4 linked regions of the Mus musculus genome follow. The protein of the gene in region 3 interacts with the protein of the main gene of each other region in a pairwise test. Links are inferred from orthologs where the notes say so. Each region holds a gene or a part of one and is shown on either strand. Other genes may lie near its edges.

Region 1 (6,069 bases), on a different chromosome or scaffold from region 3:
GGGTGCCAAGATTATAGGTGTGAGCTGCCATGTTCAGTCTAAAACTTACTTTTATTTATCTGAACAGATCATATTCATTCAGGAAAACTGAGAAACAACTCCTACAAGTAACAGAGGCTCCAAGGGAGAATACCTTCATATTCTTTTTTAAAATTACTTTTTGTTTGTTGGTTTATTTGGAGATACGGTTTCACTGTGCAGGCCGGGCTGTCCTGGAACTATAATAGATCAGGCTGGCCTTGAACTCAGAGGTCCACTTGCCTCTGCCTCGCATTGGTGGGGTTAAAGGTGTCAGCCACCACTGCCCAGCTTTAAAAAGTACTTTCCACCGGGCGGTGGTGGCGCACACCTTTGATCCCAGCACTTGGGAGGCAGAGGCAGGCGGATTTCTGAGTTCAAGGCCAGCCTGGTCTACAGAGTGAGTTCCAGGACAGCCAGGGCTATACAGAGAAACCCTGTCTCGAAAAATAAATAAATAAACAAACAAACAAACAAAAAATACTTTCCACAAAAATATTGTTATTTTACCATTGTGTGTATGTGTGCCATGGCCCAGGGGTCAGAGGCTATTTTAGGGAGCTGGTTCTTTTTCTAATGTAGAATATGGAGGCTGAACTCAGGTAATCAGACTTGTGCTAAAGGCCCAAGCACTTTCACCCACAGAGCACGTCACTTGCTACATACTTTTCGATTAAGCAAGTCTTACTCCTTTTTCTTTGCATATGCGTGAAGGGTATGCACAAATGAGCAGACAGATGAGCAATGCCCTTGCTGGAGGACATTGGCTGTCCAGGTCTAGCACTATTGCTTTTATTCCCTTGAGACAGAGTCTCTCACTGAACCTGGAGCCAGCAAGGCCCTAGGACCCTCCCGTCTCTGAGCTTCGTAGTTACAGGACCCAGGGGAAGCGAGCCTGGCCTTGTACATGCATACGGATCTGATACTGGGCCTCACGCTTGCGCAGACATCTTCCCACCCCTCATATTTCCTATCTCTAAACGGTTCTTCCACAAAATCTTACAGACCTGTGAAATCTCGACATCTCCAATTCTGAACACTTCATCAGTCAGAGTAGCAGAAAGCAGCTGGGATATGGTACAGGGCACAATATGCTGGGCTCGGACTCTCTGAAAAGAAAAAGTACGCACAGTCAACCCAAGAGAGTAACAATCACTCATTTAATATTTCCATGTGCCAAGCACTTGAATATACCACACTCCTGGAATTGCAAAACCAAGTTCTCCTTACTTTAAAAAGAGACAGAAAACAGGGCCAGAAAGTTAACATTTGTTTCATCTTCCTCTCCCTCCTAAGTGCTAGGATTCAGAGTGTGTGCTACTATACACGGCGAATGCCACACTTTTGAATTCAAGCCCACAGGGATCTGATGCTAGACCTCCAGGTGAATATATGTTTGTATCCTATTGTGGGTTCACAAAGAAAAGGTCAGACTAGAGTCAGGACAACATAGGATAGCCTGTCTTTAGAACGCATCCCAGGTGGGGGCTGGTGAGATGGCTCAGTGGGTAAGAGCACCCGACTGCTCTTCCGAAGGTCCGGAGTTCAAATCCCAGCAACCACATGGTGGCTCACAACCATCTGTAACAAGATCTGATGCCCTCTTCTGGAGTGTCTGAAGACAGCTGCAGTGAACTTACATATAATAAATAAATAAATCTTAAAAAAAAAAAAAAAAAAAAAAAAAAAAGAACGCATCCCAGGGCTAGGCAGTGGTGGCAAATGGTTTTAATCTCAGCACCCAGGAGGCAGAGGCAGGTGGACTTCTTGAGTTCAAGGCCAGCCTGGTCTATAGAGTGAGTTCCAGGACAGCCAAGGATACACACACACACACACACACACACACACACACACACACAGACACCCAAAACAAAACAACAACAAGAAAACAACTGTCTCAGAGAGGTAGGGGTAGAAAGAGCACATCCCAGACATAGCAAGAGCAGTGTTCAGGACACCACGGAGACAACAGGGCCTTGTGAAAAGGCTTGAGAAATGACAAGCAGAAAAAGGACTACGAAGATGCTCTAGGTTTCTTGATAAAATGGAAGAAGTTAGAAGTATAGCTTCTTTTAGGAGATATTCTGGCAACCAGATGGCAGTCTCTGCAGAAAACCTGGTGAGTTTCGTCAAGCTGCTCATCTTTGGGCATCTTAACAGGAGAGTCAGATGGAGTGGGCAGAGGAGCATCTAGCAAAGACACTTGCCTCTCAAGCCACCTACGAGCAATGTAGTTTGTTTGTTTTTTAAGAAAGGATCTTTTTGGGCTGGAGAGATGGCTCAGCGGTTAAGAGCACTGACTGCTCTTCCAGAGGTCCTGAGTTCAATTCCCAGCAACCATACGGTGGCTCACAACCATCTGTAGTGGTATCTGATGCCCTCTTCTGGTGTGTCTGAAGACAACTACAGTGTACAGGCAGGTGGATCTCTGAGTTCCAGGCCAGCCAGAGCTACAAACACCTCCAAAACACTTGGTCATACAATGAATATGTACGAGGCAGAAAAAGCCCAGCAGATTAAGGCTTAGCGTGTCCTTCCTGTCAGTTACCAACAGGAAACAACCCCAAACCTGTTCTGAACACAGTGGACTCTTGTTCTTCAGGGATTTTTGTGCCCTGGGGACAGCGATATTAAACTCTACTAAAGCATACTTTCGAGTGGTAGGGCCAGGAAAATGGAGGCCGGGCGAACCACTGCAGGCTTGCCAAACAATAAAATAATAAAAACCCTGTTCCCCACTTGACCATACAAAAGACAAGGTAGGTAACGGACAGCTTCTGACACCTTGGGGTGTGCCACCCTCCCGCACGAAAACACGTTCCCTCCTGGCCAGGACACAAATGAGAACGGAGCCGTCAGTCTACGTACCGATTTCTTCTCCGCCTGCGACGGTGTGGGCGACCCGAAGCCACCGGGGGACTGCGTGTAGCCGCCTGCTCCGCCATAGGTGGAGCTGCTGAAGCTTTCGAATCCGCCTGCGGGGAACGACCGTCGTCAGAGTCTGCGCTGCGCTCCCCATCTCTATACCTGGCGACCGCTGTCCCCACCGCCCCAGCCGCGACAATCCCCCTGCCACCCCGCGAACGCCGCCGAGCCCGCCTCGGGCCTCTCGCTCCGTCCCGGCCTTCCTGCGCCAGACTCGCCCACTCCCAACACCCTCGCGTGACTCTCCCCACGCCCGCCATTACTATTCCACATCCTGGTCGCAGTTCTCCGGAGAGAGCGGCCCAAGACGCTCGGACACGAAAACTAAGAACACTTGGGAACTCTGTGCCGCTCTGGCGTGGCAGCCTTCTGGCTACTTTGCACTGGCGCCACAAACTCCTTCCCGCGAAGGGACAGCCAATCAGCGCCCTGGACACATTTACCTTCAGCCAATCAGAACTCATGAGTCCCCTCCTTTTTTTTTCGGTATCAAGGCCAAGCTTAGGAAAAACACCCGGCCCCAAGAAGGAATGGAAGCATGCGCGGCCATCTTTACTGAGGGCAAATTTCCGATAGGACAGTATTCAAGAAAACAACCAATCAAAACGATACTTCCGGGGCCATCCTCAAGCATTCTTCACACACACCCCATCTCCGTCGCATGCAACCCTACATCACTTCCGCCGCTCGCTAGCCCCCTTTTCCCGCCAAACTGCTAGTTTTCTGCTCTTCCAGAACTCCCGAGTTCAATTCCCAGCAACCACATGGTGGATCACAACCATCTATAATGGGATCTGCTGTCCTCTTCTGGTGTGTCTGAAGATAGTGATATTGTATTCATAAATAAATACCTGCGTGATGGTGGAAGGAGAGGCTCAACTGTTAATCCCACTGAAGATGAGTAGAAATGATTAAACAATTTTTGGTCAAATTAAGCAAGCTTAATTTTGTCAGAGATGGCTATCTCGCTAAACTGGGGTTTTGAGAAAACAGCATCGCCGGGCAGTGGTGGCACAGACCTTTAATCCCAGCATTTAGGAGGCAGAGGCAGGAGGATTTCTGAGTTCGAGGCCAGCCTGGTCTACAGAGTGAGTTCCAGGACAGCCAAGGCTACACAGAGAAACCCTGTCTCGAAAAAACAAAACAAATACAAAATGAGAAAACAGCATCGAACACAAGAGGTGAGGTTTATATAACCCCCAAAACTGCAAGAATATGGACATTTTCAAGGGTTATGTAGGCACTTGGTCGAACATTTCAGCATTATTTGGCAGAACGTCTATCAGACTGAAATCAGGGTATAGGGTGTGGAACCTGTCGAAATTCAGAAAGTTGGTCAAGACCTGGTCAAATTAAGTTTTATAGAAAAGAGGAATGGACTTATTTTGGTAGTATGATAAGATGGCTTCAGAACTTAAGGTGGAGTCAGGCTGCTCCATCACAACTCCTACAAGTTGTCCTCTACACACACACACACAAGCACACACTCCAGCACACATGTTCATACGCACACACAGGCTTGTATCCAGGGCATAGATAACATGTTCATGTTTTCAAAGAAAGAAACCCTACCTGGGGGAGGGGTTGGCACACGCCTTTAACCCCAACACTTGGGAGGTGGAGGCAGGTGGATCTCTGTGAATTTGAGGCCAGCTTGGTCTACAGTGTGAGTTCTAGGACAGTCAAGGCTGCACAGGGAAACCCTGTCTTGAAGAAAAAAAAAAGAAAACAAACAAAAGAAACCTCATGGCCATACATGGCCACAGTTAAAAAGATCCAAAGATGTCCTGCTGTCTTGCCCCCAGTTTTGTCTCCCTCTCAGTCTCCCGTGATTTCAACCAGTCATTATATGAGTCATACACCTTCGTCTAAAAGCTGATCGAGCACTAGAGCATGTGTTTAGTTTTCTAGAAAGTATGTGGGTACGTGCACATGAGTTTAGGTGCCTCCAAAGCCAGAGGAGGTCTTGGGGGGTCCCTAAATGTGTTATAGGCAGCTGTCCCTTGGCCGTGTCCGTGTCCATTCTGTAATGCTAACTCAGGTGATCAGCAAGAGCAACATGCCCTCTTAACCCCTGAGCCATCCCCGCAGTCCTGTGTGCTCAGTTGTTTAATGGTCATTGGGTAGAGCACATGAGGGGCAAGCCTGCCGACCTGAGCTCTAAACCCTGAACACACAAAAGGCCAAACGCAATGGCACATCTGCAATCCCAGCACTCCTGTGGCAAGGAGGACGCTCCTGTGGAGGAGGCCTCAAGTACCAGCTCCTGAGAGTTGTCCTTTGTCTTCCAAGTGTGCACCATGTCTCACACATTTGACAAAGGTTATTTCAAACCATTAAATGTGTGTAGGTGGGTATAGGTGTGTGTGTGCATGTGTGCATAGGTGTAAGTATATGTGCATATGTGTGTAGGGGTGTGTATATATGTATATATATGTGTATGCATGTATGTGTATATGTGTTTATCTGTGTGTGGTTATAGTGGCATTTGTATAAGTGTATGTGTGTATAGGTGTAGTGTATGTATATATCTATATGTATGTGGTATATATTGTATATGCATATGCATGTTTGTGTATATATGTATTTTGTGTATGCATGTACATGTGTGTATATGTAGGTGTACTGGTGTGTGTTTGTGTATATATATGTACATGCGTGCATTTGTGTGTGTATATGTGTACATGTATGTATGTGCTATGTATGTAAGTATTATGTATATGTGCATGTGTATTGTGGCTGTAGTTTAGTAGAAGATCATTTGTCTAGTATGGGCTTGGGCTTGGGCCAAGATCAGAATTTCTGAGGTTCCTTTTTCCTTCTTTTGTTACAGGCTCCCTGTACTGCCCAGGCTGGCTTTTAACTTTCTTTTACTTACTTTTATCCGTGCTTCTGTGTGTGAGTGCATGCTATGTATGTGTGGATACCTAAGCTTTCCAGAAGAGGGCGTCAGGTCCCCTGCACCTGGAACCATCTGACATGGTGGGTGATGGAAACTGAACTCGGGTCCTCTGGATGACTGTCAAGATTTATTTTAAAATTTAAAAAAAAAAAAAGATTTAAAAGATTTATTTCTATATATGAGTGCTTTATTTGCACATACGCCTTCATGACAGAAGAGGGCAT
Region 2 (6,058 bases), on a different chromosome or scaffold from region 3:
CCATAGCAAAGAATACCTGCCTGGAACCATAAACAGTCAAAAGTCTACGGCTGGGGAGATCACAGGCCTAGTAGAGTGTATACTATCATTTTGATAAATGGGCATGTAGCTAAATTATCCTCTAAATATTTGTTTATACCCATAAATAGTGTTTCTCTTAGTGTGGGCCAGAGAAATTTCTTCTTGCAGTGGGAGACAGTTAATGTAGAGACCCATCAGAACTGCTCAAAGTGCTGAGAATAAATACATTTGCAGTGCTCAGCCCTATAATGGGACATCTGTGCTCTATATTACTCCTTGCAAGAACCAGAGAACAGTCTAGAAAAGGAGCCAGAAAGATCCTGAGAGTCAGAGGATGGAGATAAGGGCTAGGAGACCCTGTCTTCTGGATGTGACACAGCTGTTGCAATCGTGAACTCCAGGCAGCTGTGACTCCCTACACAGAAAAAAAAGAGGAAGGGGGGCTAGTTTGGGGGAAAAGGAGTCGGCAAGAGCAGAAGGAAGAGAGGGGTGGGCATGATTAAATGCATTACATGCTTGTATAAAATTATCAAAAGTTAAAAAATAAAACATAAGTCAAACAAAAAGTTTTGAGACAGGGTCTCACTGCTATTTAGACCAAGCTGGTCTTGACCTCAAAGAGATCAACTCCCTAATGCTGAAAGTGATAGAGGCTAGCCATCAACCTGAAGGATCCTCCCTCCCTCCCCTTCTCCTCCCTTCCCCTCTCCCTCCCTCTCTCCTTCCTTTTTCTTCTCTTCCCTCTCTCTTCTCCCTTTTTACCCTCTCCCTTTCATTGCTTCAATTGTAGTGGATTCAAGACCATGAGTGTAAGGGAACAAGCCTCGTCACATCACAAAGTCCCATCCCTTGGTGTGCCTCTTTGGCTGTTGCTCACTAAAGACTTGCACAAGCAAGCTGTCCAGAAAGTTCCAAAGGGTCTTGTCTGCCAAAGGACATAATAAAGACTACAATTGGAGTCAATTAAGTCATGTAATTAAAATTAAAAGTTAGAAGTTAACTGAAACCATGGAAAATACAGAGCCAAAGAAAGTTTCAGGAGGAATAGCAGGGGAAGAGAATCACTAGAAGAAGGAAATAAATCTGTGGCATTTTGACTTAGAGAAAACCACTCCTCCTTGCTGCCTTTGAATGGCACACCAATGGGGTATAGAAATCCCAGGAGATTGTATCCAGGTGTTTCCATGGTGATACCACCCCTTCCTTCCCCTCCTCTAAGTTATTCTTATTCTAAAATCTACCTACCATGTTACCACATATAACACCATACCGGGGGGGGGGGAGTGCAGAATTAAATCACTTTACCAGGTTATTAAGCCTGAGTCTCTACCAGAATGATCAGCACACAGCAGACTCTCAATATGATTTGAACAACTCAAAGACTAGCAACAATGCTATTCCTACCTCTGCCCAAATGAGTGCTTGTTGGAAAGGTGAGGGATTTAGTCTCCATCGCACACACACAAGGCATCATCATATGATCACATCACACATGCTTATAGATACATTAACATGCCCGCCAGTTAATAAGTGAATACAGTATGTTAATGCATACTAAAAGGTTGATTTTCTTGCACCCTACAGATGAGTCTAAAATAAGGTATTAGAGGTGCTAGAGAGACATCTCAGAGGTTAAGGGCATTGGCTGCTCATTTGGAGGACCCAGGTTTGATTCCCAGCATCCACTGTCCGTAACTCCGGTGTTGGGGTATCTGAAACCCTTTCCTGGCCTCTGAGGGCACTGTATGCATGTACTGCACTGACACGCACTCAGGAAAAAAATCCATACACATAAAATAATAAGTGATAAGAATCAGTGATATATTTGTAACTCCATTAGCTTTATTGTACATGACCAGCCGGCACACACTAGAGAAAATAGTGGTTGAGAATAGCCAAATACCAAGATGTGTTCATTATCAATAAAAACTGGCAGTCACATTTTTTTCTTGGTGATATTGCTGCAGCATACATTAGCAAAACCAGTCTTGTTCCCATTTTTAGACTCATTTCTTTGACATAAATTAACTCATTTCCTGTAGGCTGAGGCACGCCCCGGATGGTAGAGTTTCTGCTGGTCGTTGAATTCTTTCAGTATTCTGATAGCAGGCTTGAGTATAGCAGTGGAAGAGGTGTCTGTAGATCCAGGTCCCACCAGCCACTAGTTCCCTGCAGCTTGTTTCGTTAGCTAGGTTTGGCCTCAGAAAAAGAAATGTGCTAGGCTGGCTGGCTGATTCCAGTTTTTGACCATTTTCAGAAGGAGACATTATATTGGGTCCCATATTTACTGACTATTGCACACATGGGTATGTGCACTTTCAGGGGTGTAGTTCTTATTCTCCGGCCTTCCTTTGTCCAAGTGCTGGTTTGAAGTTTTCATTGCTTATTCTATGTACCCTTTGGCATTACCTAATGATTTCCTGACTCTGGCCTCTGTGCGAGAAGTCAGCGTCAGAAGTCGGGTTTCACCAAGATATTTTCTTGTCTTTTCCAGCACAAAGCTCTAGAAACAAAGGCAGGGTTATCACATGTCCCCAAGAGCTGCCTGGGAAAAGCAGGAGCCGCAGTTATCAGTATTAGAGCCTTTCTGAAATATGCTTTTGTCTCCGTGTTCATTGCATTCAATCACATCAACAAGTGTTGGCTAAGTGTTGAGCGTGGTTTCCTGTGGGATTGTGTAAGGCCCTGCAGGACAATAAATGCTTTGGGGGCACTGAGTCGTACAGCCATTTCTGACCCAACAGCCAGGGGAAAAAAAAATGTGATACAATTCACTGCTGCTGGAGAGAGGACAGCCCGAGGTTGCGTTCTTGCAGGAGCAGCTTCGCTTCACCGTGGTGGACCCCAGGGAGACAGAAGGAGCCCAAATGGTGCGTTTAAGTGGCCTGTGACTACGCAGTGTCATTATCTTACAGAATAGGTTTGGACCCAGATGTTGTGGTGCCTGGAGGTTTTAAATTTTGGAAAGCCCATCTCAGGAAAAAAAAAAACCACAAAATTATGAATACAGAGGTGTTGGGCTGCCCCTGGGACTTGAAAGGGAGCTTGTAATTTGGGGACCAGAGGTTTAAATCCCTATAGTTTCACTGTGAATTATTCACCTTGCTCAAACTTTCACTCTGAGAGGCTGCCTGATTAGGTGCCTAGCGAGACCAGCTGGATGTAGCTTTGTGCTCTTTCCTCTGTTGATTTTCTCCGCGTGCTTCTTCGCATACTGCCGTGGCAATGACATTTCACACTGTCTCTATAACTGCTCGCAAAACAAAGAAACAAACAAACAACAACAAAGAGCTTTTAGATGTACCTTCCCTTCTTTATCTTTTTTATCATGCTTTTTCAGCTACAAATGTTTGCTTTTCCATTCCTGAACTCTCCATAAACCAGAAATTAAGAGTGTTTCATGATGGAAAGAGAGACGTGGGAGACAAATGGTGCATTTGGTTCCCACGACCATAGAATTAAAGAGGTCTTGCTAGCTACAGTGATTTCACTGGATTTTAATAAATACTGCAAATAAATTGTAGTTTCTGTCAGTGCTCTAGTGTTCGCATGAGTCACCAGAGTCAGCTGTGCTCTTTACCTTTTTAATTTACTCTTTGATAAGTTTAAATATTTTGCCCGGATGAAAAATATTTTGATCAAGTATTTATTTAGTTCGGCTCTTCCCGCTTCCTCTCACTCCCTTGGACTCTGTTCTTCCTCTGAACAAGTCTCCTTTCTACTGTGTTTTTACCCACTTGCTTGCATGAGTGTAGGTATGGGCTTCTTTGCTAGAACATCTTAGTGGTGAAGCAGCTCCAGGAGGTAATCGTACTATCGGACCATGAACCACCCTTAGAGTCACTTCCAGTATGTGTTTGGATAAGTATTTGTGGTGGTACAGATACACCATGCAGACTGGCTGATTCACCCTGATTGGAAGGTAACTGGTCCCCAAGAGAGCTGGTTACAAACATAAGGAGCAGGTGCTTATTGACTTGAGAATATGTAAAGAGCTTGGGGGCAGGGCGTGAGAAAGGAAAAATTATCTTTGAGGCACACATCATTGTCTTCAGACTATTTTTCAATGTAACTATAGAGTGCTGTGGAGAAGCTTCATCTCCTACGGTGCTGGTCAGGGCACTGCCATTTTCTCATGACTTCTCAAAACCCTTCAAGGCAGTTATTGTTTTTACCGTGTTTACAGATGAGGAAGCTGAGGTTTAGCAGGGTTAGGTAATATGTCAAGTTGCAGAGAGACAAAGAAAGATTTGAACCTATCCATATGTGATGGTCTTGTCTATGCCAGTCCACATCTAGAGAGTAATAGATGCTAAGCCAATGCTAACTGATAGATTTACCACTTTTTATTTTTCTGATGAAGATGCCCAGAGGGAGTGGCCAGGGGGAGGGGAGGCAAAAAGGAAGAGGTTGCTCAAAATAAGAGAAGGTGGCTCAGAAACTCTCCAGAAGGCACAGAAGATGAATCTTATGTGCGAAGCCAATGTGATCTCAGACAGAGGTAGCACTGGAATTTTCTCTTGGTGAGAATAAAGTTTGCCTTGTTTTCATAAGCTTATCTCAGAGCAGTCAACATTTGGTCTTCCAAAATGTTAAGGATGTGAGTGTTGACATTAGTTTTTCTGTCTGTCTCATGCCAAGATCAACTGTAACTCTCTGACCTGCACCGTGTCGTGTGAAATAGGGACTTGTTGGGTCTACAGAGCTGAAAGCCAGTACCAGGGGCTTTGTTCAGCAACTTTGACTGATTCTGAATTGTACTTCTTGTTCTTGCTTAAGCTTACCATTGTGTTATGTTCAGTTGTTTAGCAGAATAAACAGGACCAACTTTGGACAAATACTTGACTATTTAAGTTGTCAAAGGACTCTCCAATTTCTTTTTCAGACCCCTGCCCAATCTTCATGTGGAGTACCTCCCTTCTCCTGACTCGTCTTCCTGCCTATCCAATACATTTATCACTTTATATTTTAGCACCAGTTAATCAAAATCTACAGCTAAACGACATGTAAAAGAAGACAACAAAACAAGAAAAGGGTTAGAAAGTGTTGCCTCCACTATCCCTTCTAAAGAACATCTTGAACTATTCAGGGAAGAGGTTTCCATTGCCAGACTGGACCAATTTAAGTACACCCCATCTCTCTCCTGTCTCCAGCTCCCACCTCCTTCACTACCTGCCATTTACTCCCACTTTTAAGGCTGAATATTTTTAGCACTATTCAAAATATGCATTATAATTCATCTATAGTGTCTGTGTTTCTGAAACCAGAGATAAAATACGGGGCCTTGTACATACATGATTGACAACCATTCTTTACCTTCATTCTGTACCCTAGCCTGGAGTTTTGCTGTCTAACAATGTATTGAGGCATTCCACTGAATGATTATTTCAAAGTCACATCTTTCTGAGAGTTCGCTGGTAAATGTTCCTTGCACAGGTCATATTAGATCCACATTTATGTCTAGTTCCCTCAACAGTGTGCCTTATTAAGGTGGAAGTAGCTTTGGTTGAACATAGAAATCGCTCTCATATGTGAGTTTCTCTGCAACTCTCTGTCTGCCTCTTTGCCTCTCTGCCTCTCTGTCTCTCTCTGTGTGTATGTGTATGTTTGTGTGTATGTATGTGTGTGTGTGTCTGTCTGTGTGTGTCTGTGTGTGTTTCCCCCTCTTTGATACAGGATCTCACTGTGTAGTCTTGGCTGGTCTGGACCTCAGAATGTAGACCAGGCTGGCCTTGATTTCATAAAGACCCTCCTGCCTCTGCTTCCTAAGTACTGGGATTAAAGGCATGTGCCACCATGCCCAGTTATTTGAGTATGTCCAGTGCCATAGTATGAATGCATCTAAGGTAAGACAGCTGAATCTAGCTCCCTGAGCTATTAGATCACTGCTTTGTCGTTTTAGCAAAGTTGCTTAGAACGTTAGGGTTCAGAATATCTTTAGTAAAAAGTTACTCCAAGCTTTCACACTCTATGGCTGCTTTCTTGTGTTTAAGTTAGTCTTCTCAGGTTTAGGTCACACAGTGACCATGTTCTTTTC
Region 3 (5,303 bases):
TGGCTCATAGGCAAAAACACCTGCCGCAAATGTATTAACGGGGTAGGCAGGAAAGGGAGTACAGAAGTAAGATTTCAATCACACTTTTCTACACAAATGTTAGCCAAATGAGTGAACAGGACAAACTGGCAGGCCACCTCTTCAGGAGGCACAGGCCCTCTCTGCCCTTCAGGGGGCAGTAGTACCCAGAACATGAAGTAGCCGGGTGCTGCCAGTGGCCAGCAGGTGGAGCAAGTGATACAGGAGGCAAGCGTTCTTACCACTGATGTCCTTTTCCACCCAAGTGAAAGTGACCCCTCCTTCTTTGCTGCTCTCGCTGAAGCGCAGTAGGAAGGTGCCCGGGGGCTTTGTGCTTAGGATGGCCCGCTCCCGCTCCTTGCTGATGAAACCCATGATGTACCTGCAGCCAAGGACAACCAGTCACGGGCTTGCTGGGAGTAGGTGACTCGTTACACAGGGCAGCCTTACTGCAGAGTTTAACCTTACCCTTCATTCCAAAGGGCCAAGATATACTTTTTCACAAGGTCGATGATATTGTCTAGCCAGACCCAGAAGGAGAAGCCCTTGCCAGCCATGTTTTCCTGGAGAAAAGAATGGGAAAGCAAGTCCACCACCACTCACCCCAGCTCTTTCCTGCCAGAGCCTTCTTACACCCTCAGGTTCCTCTATCCTCAGGCAGCTCCTGACAGCTGCTGGAGAAAGGGGTCCTGGGCACCCCACACCTACCTCCTAACTGAGGGAATCAACAGGATCACTTACTTTGCAGAATTTAGCCCATGTGATCTGACACCCTGAGTAGTTCACACCAGGCCCTGGAAGAGAAAACAACAACCGGATTTCAGCCTTGGCCAAAGCTATTTCTTAAGCAGAATTTACAAAAAGGCCATGCATTTGTACATGTACTTACAGGGTGTGTGCCACACATGCCCACACACACCCAAGCCCAACAGCTGTCCCTAGATTAGGCCAGCACAGATGTCCTGTTGGACCCCTGCTTGTCCTTGCCTTGTGTGGTCTGAGAACTGGCAACACACAGTGACAAAGCTGGCAGCTGGGGTCAGGAGCCTTTTTTTTTTTTTTTTTGTAGGAGCACAGGTCAAAGTTACTTTCAGTCCAGATATTTTTTTAAAGGGGAGAAAAAATTTAAAACTATTGTCTTTGGCTTTTTAAAGAAAGAAACATGCTCTTCAAACACACTTAGCAACCTGGTCCTGGCATGGTGCCTTGCCCTAGGCTGACATGGGGACCCCGACTGAATGACCACCCCCCAGGCCAGACATGTCTGAAGCTGTCAACCTAGGAGCTTCTCAGCCAGCGTTGTCAGCTGCTCGATGCTCAGCCCCCGCTTGGTGGTGGACGAGAACTGCCAGCTGAGCACCTCGGCCACTTGGTCCCAGGTTCCAATTGGCGGCTTAGTGAAGAAGTTCACGTTCTATTGAAAAGAACACATTTGTTCACTTGGATGAGAGAGTGACACTGACAGCCTGCACCCACTTGGATGAGAGAGTGACACTGACAGCCTGCACCCACTTGGATGAGAGAGTGACACTGACAGCCTGCACCCACTTGGATGAGAGAGTGACACTGACAGCCTGCACCGGGGGTGGAGAAGCAGCAAGGTTCAGGGATTTCAGAGAGGGTTGGGGGTGGGAAACTCACCTTGGGGTTATTGGTCAGCATGTTATACCACAGGATTGATGCCCAAGCATTTGGCATCTGACAGATGTTGGAGATCACCACAACTGGCAAGGAGTGGGTCTGTAGAGTATGGGGACAGGCGGTGAATGACTTAGTGGGACAGCTGGGCTCTCACAGCTCCCAACCCTTGTCACCCGCATCTCAATAAGTTAGAATTAAAAATCACACCATGGCCACCCCTCACGGCAAGTGCAGGCTGGAGCAAGAACACCAAGAGGAGAAAGACCAGCCTGCATCAGGACCAGCCTGCATCAGGACCAGCCTGCATCAGGACCAGCCTGCATCAGCACTGATGTCTGAACATCATCAGTGACTTGTTCAAAGTCAGGCCCTAAAAACTAACACTAGGGCTGGAGAGATGGCTCAGCAGTTATGAGCACTGACTGCTCTTCCGAAGGTCCCGAGTTCAAATCCCAGCAACCACACGGTGGCTCACAACCATCCATAAAAAAGATATGACTCCCTCTTCTGGAGTGTCTGAAGACAGCCACAGTGCACTCATAATAAATAAATAAACAAACAAACCTTTAAAAACAAACAAACAAACAACTAACACTAACCCAAACACTAAGGCTAACCCAGGCCCTCAGCCCGACTCTCCAGAGACAGACCTGGAAGGCAACCTCCAAACAACCTGCATCTTTCCATGAAGCTGAGGTGTTAGAAATCAAACCTAAGGATGTCTGCTTTTCCAGGTCTAAACTTAATAAGATCAAGAAAGATGGAAAACAGGGGCTGGAGAGATGGCCTATCAGTTAAGAGCACTGACTATTCTTCCTGAGGTCCTGAGTTCAATTCCCAGCAACCACATGGTGGCTTTACAACCATCTGTGATGGAATCTAATTCCCTCTTCTGGTGTGTCTGAAGAGAGTAATGGTGTACTCACATACATAAAATAAATAAATCTTTAAGGAAGGAAGGAAGGAAACAAGCAAGCAAGCAAGCAGGAAAATAAAATCTAAATGGCGGCTACTAAGACCCACTTGCCCAAACTTCATCAAATCGATTCTAAACAATCACTAATATAGATTTTCATAACAGGTACTCAAGCAAGACTTTACTCTTGGGGACAGGGTGGCTCTCAGGGACGTTTCTGAGATAGATAATGAGAAACAAATCCAGGCTGGGCAGACAGCCATCATCCCGGCAGGCGTTCTGTCCTGGCCTCCCTGCACACGCACCCCCGCACACGAGCCGCCTGGTTCTGGGAAGGCCTCACCTCTAGGTCAATCTTGAGGCCTTGGTGGTACACCTCAGTCTCGAAGGTGATCAGGTGCAGCTCCTCAGTCACGATCAAGGAGGCCTGCAACAGCATAAGGTCTCTCAGAGACACTGGCAGGGACACAACTCTGCCCTCTTTCTTCCACCCAAAGACCCAAGGACATGATCCTCACATATGCACTACATAGTACATAACCATATCTTACAATACACATTCAAGGCACGAAGAATAACAAAGCAATGAGCATCCAAGGATAAGCCACCCAGCTTACGTCCTTATTTGAGGGCCAGCAAGATGGCTCAGTGGGCAAGGGCATCTGCCTGCCAACCCGAGCCTCATCCCTGGGACCCACTTGGTGGAAGAAGAAACAAGTCCTTCAAGTGGCAACTTGACCTTCACATTCACACCATCGCACATGTGCGACCATACACAAACACAGACACACAGGAAGGAAGGAAGGAAGGAAGGAAGGAAGGAAGGAAGGAAGGGAGGGAGGGAGGGAGGGAGGGAGGGAGGGAGGGAGGGAGGGAGGGAGGGAGGGAGGGAGGAAGGGAGGATGGGAGGGAGGAGGGAGGGAGAAGGAGGGAGGGGAGAGAAAGAGGAAGGAGGAAGGAAGGGAGGGAGGAAGAGGGAAGGGAGGGGAGGGAGGGGAGAGAGAGGAAGGGAGGGAGAGGGAGGAGAGAGGGAGAGGGAGGGAGAGGGAGGAGGGAGGGAGAGGGAGGAGAGAGGAAAGGAGGGAGGGAGAAAGGGAAGGAAGGAGGGGAGAATAGGAAGGAATAAAGGAAGGCTTCTTAGGTTTCTTCTCTCTCTCCCTCCTTCCTTTTATATGCACTAGGGAGCAAACTCAGGGTCTCATGCATCTAAGTGCACCCCAACACTGAGCGATAGCCTAGCATTATCATCCCGCATAAGTTGCCATTATCACCGAGATTCCCCAGGTGAATCCCCCTTCTCTGCACTTTACTGTGTCTTTGTCTCTGCTGTCTCCCAGCTCCTCCCAACCGTGTTCATGGTTGTTTCTCCAAGCATGTGTACTTCACACAGTGAACTGCACTCTCAGTGTGTTCCTGCTCCTGACACCCCACCCCCACCTTGATGAGGGTCTGTGGTCCCGTGCAGGTCCCAGTTCCTCTTTCAGAGCTGTAGAGTACTCCACTGCCTACACCACAGCTCATGACCCCAGTGCTGAGAGATCTGAGCTGTGTCAATGACCAATGGCTGTGACTGTGTTATCTGTCCTTAGTTCACCTATGCAAAGCTTTCTTTACTGTTAATTCCTAAGACTGGAACTGCCGGTTTACAGGGTGTGCTCATTTTTATGCCAAGTCACTTTCTAAAGTGACTGTGATAACCTTCAGTGCCACACAAGCAGTCAAGCAATGTGGCTACCTGTGGTCATGAGCTGTGGTGTAGGCAGCAGAATACTCTACAGCTCTGAAAGAGGAACTGGGACCTGCACGGGACCACAGACCCTCATCAATTAGTACACAAATTACTGATGAATTCTCAGGAATGAATTTCCAGCTCTTTTACATGTATGTGCTGAATGACAGAATGATCTCAAACTCACAATTCCCCTGCCTCAGCTCCTGAGCACAGTTTGGTTGGTGGTTTTTTTTTGTTTGTTTTGTTTTGTTGTTGTTTTTTTTTCTGTTTAGCTCTGACTGGCTGACTTGATGTCTTCCTTTTGTCTCACCAGGCACTGAAAAGGGAGCCAGCTGGCAGGTAGTAGCAAGGGACTCTGGGAAGCCCCGGGCAATGTGGAAACTTCTTTTCTACCAGATGGGTGTGGGTAACAGCTTGGCGAGGGACTTCCCACTGCTGAAAGGGAGCCAACTCCCCAACACTCAGGGAAATGTTTCTCGCTAGAAAACTCCACAGCACCTGTGACTTCTGAGCATGTCACCCTGGCCCAGAGCGACCAACTTTTCTAAAGGACAAACATCTGAAGTAGTGGGTTAAAGTTTTAATTCTGGGTTGGAGAGAGGGAGAGAGGGAGAGAGGGAGAGAGAGAGAGAGAGAGAGAGAGAGAGAGAGAGAGAGAGAGAGAGAGAGCGAGAGAGCTTTCTCTTTCTTCCTCAAAGAAAGAAAACAATTGCTTTTAGCCCGAACAAAACTTACTTACATCACAATTGGCACGGCCTCCATTCCCACATCTCTGCTCCCTAAGGGTCTGGAAGAAAGGAAGAAGAAGGAGGCAAGTGTCACTTGAGGCTGTGCCAGTCTCTCCCCCCTCCTCTGCCACCTGGCCTGTGCCGCCTCCTCTCCCCTCGGACACCGACCAGGTGCTTGAACTCTGCAGACAGGCTGCCGTTGTTAGACTCCTCCATGTTCATCACTTTTGTGTTCGTGCCCAGAATGTTAAATTTCCGAGACCTAAAT
Region 4 (5,924 bases), on a different chromosome or scaffold from region 3:
TTGTATTACCAGGGAGTAAGCCCAGAGCCCAGAGATCAGACAGCAAGACTGGCCACTCTCTCAGTGCCACCAGAGTTAGGATAGAACAAGCACTTGGTAGAATCAGTGGTACCTGTTAGCACTTAGCATTAACGATACCTGACCCAGTGGATTCCATTTCAGCACCCTAACTTGTCCTCTGAGTGGGAGGCCACCCAAATGGTCTCACTGGTTCCAATGGTCCTGGAATACAAGGAACCCAAATCCAAGAAGTCCACTAACCTCTCTGGTAAACTGAAATGGCTTGTTAGGAACTCTGCTCAATTAACTTTTTAAAAATAATAGCTTGGTGGATGAGAAGAGTTTGATTTCTTTAAAGGAACAATCGCAGTTCACAGCTGAAGTACAGAGAACAAGAGTATTGTTAGACAGATCCTAAGACCACGAACTTACGCTTGTATCCTCCCGCAATGCCAGACTGTGTTAGGCATCTCTGCAATTCGTCAGCATCAATTTGTCCGTCCTTTAAAAAAATACAAACAAAAACCAGGAAAGGAAATCAGGGTGGTGACTTGCACTTTCAAGCCATTAAGCAGCATTTAACAAGAGAAAATAATTATATGTAGCATTTCTTTAAAGGAATGCCTTTCAAAATTCTTCTTATTCTAATTCCAAAAATAATTCAATGGTGAGAGAATAACTGTCATGACAACAGTCTGCATTCAGTTTGAGCCAAGGAACTATCAAAATCAATCATTTTAAAATTAGTTAACAGAATTGTTTAAAAACATATCCCTCCAACCCTTTTTTTTGAAAGAGGGGGGAAGTAGGGTATATCACAGAGTTGTAGGCATCAGTAAATACAAGGCCTGGTCCAAGGAGAAAGAGGCTCTTGGACCAGTTTGACTCAGCAAACAGGGTCTTCCAAGCACAATTATATAGAAAAGATACAGGGTACCAATACCTACTTACTGGTTGACTGAGGTCAGAATAAGACACATGACATTTTTATGGATTTTAAATAAAATATATAAATCCAAGTTGGTGAGACTCATTAAGTTATAATTAGGAACAAGATCAATAATTTGCAAGAAGATGAATGTGTGGACTAGAGGCCAGCACTGCTGAAAGTCAAGCAGGTGGAGTCACTTACATGCTGAAGACACTGGCAATCTAAGAATGCTTGTCTTGAGGTGTGCTATGTCTTGTGGTTTCAAAAACACGGATCGATAACATATTAAGTAGACACTCGAGAGGAAAGTCTCCCAGTCTTCGACTCAATTTTCCATTCAAATTCTCCGAGCTCTGTTTCTTAGAGTACCACTTCTTCCAAGGTGGCCGTAGAAGTTTGCTTAGCATATTCTAGAGCATATCTGTTTGTTTGTTTGTTTGTTTGTTTGCTTGTTTTTTCAAATCATCATTTCCTTCTTTTGGGCTCTTGTTTAAAACAAGTCTAAGGTGACTAAGAAGGGAGGTCCCCTCTGGACACATCTGGATTATGTCCACAGAACACTTACAAACACACAGTGACCTTGCAACCTAGGAACATGTCCTTCCCCACAATAGCCATAGGCATCGGTCATAACTCTCGGAGGGAGGAAGTAGGTCTTAGGACTTGGGACTAGCTGACCTGCATTCCCTCCGTGGGTCATCTGGCCACATCACCTAATAAGGACATGGAGCGCTAGCTCCAGAGAGCACCTGCCCCTGGGTGGAGGCTACCTTCCGAATACTGATAGCAACTCTTGTGCTTGGAAGCCGATGCTTCTTTACAGCTCTTCTCTACTTCCTTTGTGGGTAAATGATTAATTATCGAATTCAACTGAAAGTAGCTAACTATCATAATTGGGCCATAAAATAATTAATTACTAATATTTGTCTTTAGGTTAGGCAAGCAGAGGTTTTATGTTCAGATCTTGAATTTCTTCTCTGTAAGCAGCCCTTGTTCTATCCTGACAATACAAGTGAGGAGGTATACACTTTGTAGATCTTCAAAGTATATTTATATTCCCCCTTTGGGTCAGTCTAATCCCAGTCCAATCACAAGCTTTGAACTGATCTATTATTGATACAGGCAATACTCTGTCCAAATTTGTCCAGATCTAAAATAAAGACTGTTTTAGTCTTCCTTTCCTTTTACCTTCTTTCAGGCAAAGGGACTCATTTCCAGAGCAAAGACTGTTTTTGTGCCACTGCACTAAATGCTAACACAAACAGAACATAACAATTCTTCAGTATTGAAGGAAAGGCTAACCTGTCCAGCCACAGCAGCAAAGTAACCATATAGCGGATCCTGAGTTTGTCCAGGGAACGCAGGCCCTCCGGGAGCCCCACCATACTGTGAAAAAGAAAAGAAAAAAAAAAAAGGTAAAGGCATCAGAGAGAATTGAATTTATCTTAACCATCCAAGGCTTTTGTACAATTGACGCCTGTGCGACCTTCACAGTCTCTATCTTCCCCACCACCTTGACTCAGCTCAGTGACCCACCAGGCTTGTCCACTCCTGCTCCTGACATCTAAAAGCTGGAGACTTGGTCCAAAACAAGTTTCATGAGAGTGATGGCCACTAAACGCAGACCCACTTTAAAAATCCCTATTAACCAGCTTACAGAGGTCAGTGCACCGGAAGCAACCTGGTGGCTAGGCTTAGGACTGTTTTCCTGTTGGTTTTTACAGCCTTTGCGGTGTTTTTGAAGTACTTGAAGTACTAAGTAAGGCTGGAGTTAGTACAGGGCTGACAGGTGTGGCTTGGGAAGAACAGGGATGGCCGGCCCGGTTATATCTAAAATGAGGGTCCCTCTGTCTCTGACAGTACACCTCCCACATCTGCCTAAGTGGTCTTCCTCTAGGACTTCAGCTCATTTCTCCAGACTTTCTGGTCTCCCTGTCACTTTCTTTTCAAGGGAGTGACCACAGAACCATTCTAGATCAAGATGGCTGTTGTTGCTTTGGGGACATTCCGAGAGAGCAGGAAGTCAACACCAACTTGCACTATCTCACGCCACATATCCGAGTTACAGAATGGGCTTCCTGGGTCGCAGCCCACCCACCGGTGGGCCCTGGAAAGGCCCTTGGAAGAGATGGGGAAGAAAAATGGAGCCAAGGCTGGACATCAGGGTCCAGGCGAGCTCGCAGGGAGCATCTGGGACCGCCCGCGACGCCTCCTCCCGCTCGTCCGTGGCGCCTTCCAGTCTCGGGAGACCAGAGGCTGCTGTGCCCTCGTCCGCTGCACTTACCCCGCCTGGGTAGTACCCTCCGCCCGCGCCAGGGTGCCCGGGATACGCCATGGTGCAGACTGCGCCTCCGCCCTGCCTGTCTGCTGCTCCGCCCGTCCGGCCCAGAGCCGCCCCGGAGCGCACCACGCCGCCCCGCGGGGGCCGCCGCTCGCCGCCACCCACCCCGATCGCCCCGCGGCATCCCGAGTGCCGCCCGTTCCCTGCTGCCTCTGTGCTGTGTCAGCGCCGTCTGCGACCCACACTCGGGCGATGACCCAGGACCCCAGACGAGTTTATATCAGGACCCATTCTCCCTCTCGACCTAGTGGCACATTCCGACATCCACGCACAGCTAGGGGAGGGTTTTTTCCCCCCTTCTTCCTACTGTGCTATTTTGTAGAACATTTACTATTTACACCGGGTTGTTGGGTAGAGAGGACGGGATAAGAACGCTATGCACAACTGTAGGGAAGGGGAGAACAATTCCAGTGGGCGAAGGAGACACTTTACAAAATAGGAAAAAAAAAACTTTGAAAACCTGATGAAAACTTCTGAACCATGCAAGTGGGCTTTTAGCTTTGACTGAGGGTGGCCTGTTTCTTTGCCAACCGTTTAAGCTGAGTGTAGCTCAGGTGCGATTGCTAGGCGTGGGTGTGTGGGGTGGGGTAGAAGAGGGCAGTTTCTAGGCAGGACAGCCTCACCCAGGTCATTCATAGGAAAGTGAATTGTTTAATTTTCTGGATGATTCGAATAGAAACAACCCCAGTGGTGAAGCTTCCTGGAAAGGATGTGAAACTCACGTGGGTTGTTCAGATGTTTCACGGCTTCTTTTTTGTTTTTTGGTGCAATTGCAACAAGAGGTAATTGTTTGCTGGCTCCGGACTGTTAAGGACTGAACAGTGTTGGTTGGTCGATGTTTTGTTTGTTTGCTTTTGACTGTTTGCTCTTACTCTTTCCTTTTGAGATCCAGGTTCTCAGGGTAGCCTCTCATGGCCTCAGCCCCAGATGAGAGTCACCAACGGTTGCCTGCTTTATTGTTATTATTATTATTGTTGTTGTTGTTATTATTAATTTATTTTTATTTTTAATGACGAAACAAAAATATACCTAAAAGCGAAGCTTCTGGAAAAACCATTTGTTCATCCCTGTCTTGTATCGCTCCTCAAACTTGACCTTGGCCTCCCGCCTGACCTTGCGTTTGTTTCAAAGCTGGGTCCCTGAACACATCCTTGTTGACAACAGTCTTGTTCAAGGGGATATCCACAGAGTACCTTGTGGGCATGAGGTGGTTGTAGTTATAAACTTTCACAAAGGACTTGATCTTGGATCGCTTGGCGATTTTCTTCTTGCCCATGGCAGCTGTCACTTTTTGGGGATAGCGGTCAATTCCAGCCACCAGGGCATGGCTGTAAGGGCGGTCCAAGAAGCCATGGTCAATGTTCTTCACGATGACGGCTTTGCGACCGGAGTAGCATCCGGCCAGGACCAGCAACACTTTCCCGGGTTTCATGAACTTGCCCATCTTGACAGCAGGCAGCGGTACCCAGCAGAAAGGAAAGGAGGGCACTTCCGCTCTTGGTTTTGTTTTTAACATTTTGAGAAACACTTTAATGAACAAGACTGACCATAGTGTGTGACCAAGTTCTCTTTGGATACATAAGCTCCAAAACAGAAAGTTCTAAATAGCGAGAAACAATTCCAATAGTCCTTGTGATCACGTAGCAAAGGTGTAGCCTGTTTTACGTCTGCTTCTGGAGATAAAATTACTGTTCTCAAATACCATGGTCTTTGATTAGGCATTCTGAGGTTTTGTCCTGTAGTTTGGAACTTTAATCGGCTAGGTGAACAGGGCTCAACTCACACTTGAATTTAAGCTCTTTCAGGACTCGAGTTTGAAAATATCACAAAAAATATGTGTCACCAATAAAGCATTTGTGACTAATGCAGGCTTCATTTTATGGATAAGCGACTACATTAATTGTCACATTAGGAGACATTAGACTCTGGTTACTCCTCCCTTAAGAAGTGAATTTTAATGGAGGGCTGTAAATGAAATCCTTACAGCGATTGCCAACAAATTAATGATGAAAACAAAGATAAATTACACACACACACACAGTAATTAATGAGTGTCAGACCTTCATAAACTTTGCCTATTTGTGTAGTCCTCACAAAGACCTGTGAGATAGGCGCTTTTGTTATGCAGTTTTATGCAGTTGAGAAACGAGAGCTGAGACAAGACAAAGAAAGGAGGATATGAATTCAGAGCTGGGCTATGGTGCTAGGTACTCTAGCTCCGCCCCCGGGGTGGGGGTGGAGGTGGGGATGGGGGAGAAAATGTCCAGATAGTAAATATTTTCCATCACATGCTCCCTATAGCAACTTCTTGGCTCTCATAGCCTGGTGGTGTCTAAGGATAGAACACAGGTCAACAGTGTGACTGTGATCTAGAGCAACTTCATTCACTGAACTTCATATCGTTGTTGAATGTCAGAATAACTCTATTCCTCCTATCTTTTAAAGACAGGAAGAGATGTCATTCCTAGCTCTCAGATGTTCTCCCAAAGAGGCAGGCCAGATGTGGCCCTCAGGGAGCAACTTGTGAACCACGGCCAGCTTATGACTCAGGAAGTATGGCCCTTAGCAAACAATTTTGCTGGTTTTAGGATAAAGTCTACTGTATTGGTAGATGAGTCACACCAAGGAATGGTGACTCCCCAGTGTAAGAGC

The links.
Region 1: the proteins of Stat3 (region 3) and Rpa2 interact in a two-hybrid assay, tested with the Homo sapiens proteins (2 studies listed by BioGRID and IntAct, with this or other methods). The link is inferred for Mus musculus from reciprocal best matches to the Homo sapiens genes STAT3 and RPA2.
Region 2: the proteins of Stat3 (region 3) and Bmx interact in binary tests that used the Homo sapiens proteins (3 or more experiments, as listed by UniProt). The link is inferred for Mus musculus from reciprocal best matches to the Homo sapiens genes STAT3 and BMX.
Region 4: the proteins of Stat3 (region 3) and Sri interact in binary tests that used the Homo sapiens proteins (3 or more experiments, as listed by UniProt). The link is inferred for Mus musculus from reciprocal best matches to the Homo sapiens genes STAT3 and SRI.

What each region holds. Positions count from the first base shown.
Region 1 is NC_000070.6:132,765,604-132,771,672, reverse strand, and holds the start of Rpa2 (replication protein A 32 kDa subunit), read right to left. Parts: upstream 3,314-6,069; 5' UTR 3,217-3,313; coding exon 3,207-3,216; intron 2,994-3,206; coding exon 2,887-2,993; intron 1,128-2,886; coding exon 1,026-1,127; intron 1-1,025. UniProt on the Homo sapiens protein: As part of the heterotrimeric replication protein A complex (RPA/RP-A), binds and stabilizes single-stranded DNA intermediates that form during DNA replication or upon DNA stress.
Region 2 is NC_000086.7:164,254,881-164,260,938, reverse strand, and holds the start of Bmx (cytoplasmic tyrosine-protein kinase BMX), read left to right. Parts: upstream 1-2,745; 5' UTR 2,746-2,888; coding exon 2,889-2,891; intron 2,892-6,058. UniProt on the Homo sapiens protein: Non-receptor tyrosine kinase that plays central but diverse modulatory roles in various signaling processes involved in the regulation of actin reorganization, cell migration, cell proliferation and survival, cell adhesion, and apoptosis.
Region 3 is NC_000077.6:100,893,405-100,898,707, forward strand, and holds part of Stat3 (signal transducer and activator of transcription 3), read right to left. Parts: intron 5,298-5,303; coding exon 5,204-5,297; intron 5,095-5,203; coding exon 5,047-5,094; intron 3,003-5,046; coding exon 2,919-3,002; intron 1,759-2,918; coding exon 1,660-1,758; intron 1,433-1,659; coding exon 1,297-1,432; intron 813-1,296; coding exon 760-812; intron 582-759; coding exon 487-581; intron 401-486; coding exon 261-400; intron 1-260. UniProt on the Homo sapiens protein: Signal transducer and transcription activator that mediates cellular responses to interleukins, KITLG/SCF, LEP and other growth factors. Once activated, recruits coactivators, such as NCOA1 or MED1, to the promoter region of the target gene.
Region 4 is NC_000071.6:8,053,931-8,059,854, reverse strand, and holds the start of Sri (sorcin), read right to left. Parts: upstream 3,314-5,924; 5' UTR 3,267-3,313; coding exon 3,216-3,266; intron 2,318-3,215; coding exon 2,234-2,317; intron 503-2,233; coding exon 433-502; intron 1-432. UniProt on the Homo sapiens protein: Calcium-binding protein that modulates excitation-contraction coupling in the heart. Contributes to calcium homeostasis in the heart sarcoplasmic reticulum. Modulates the activity of RYR2 calcium channels.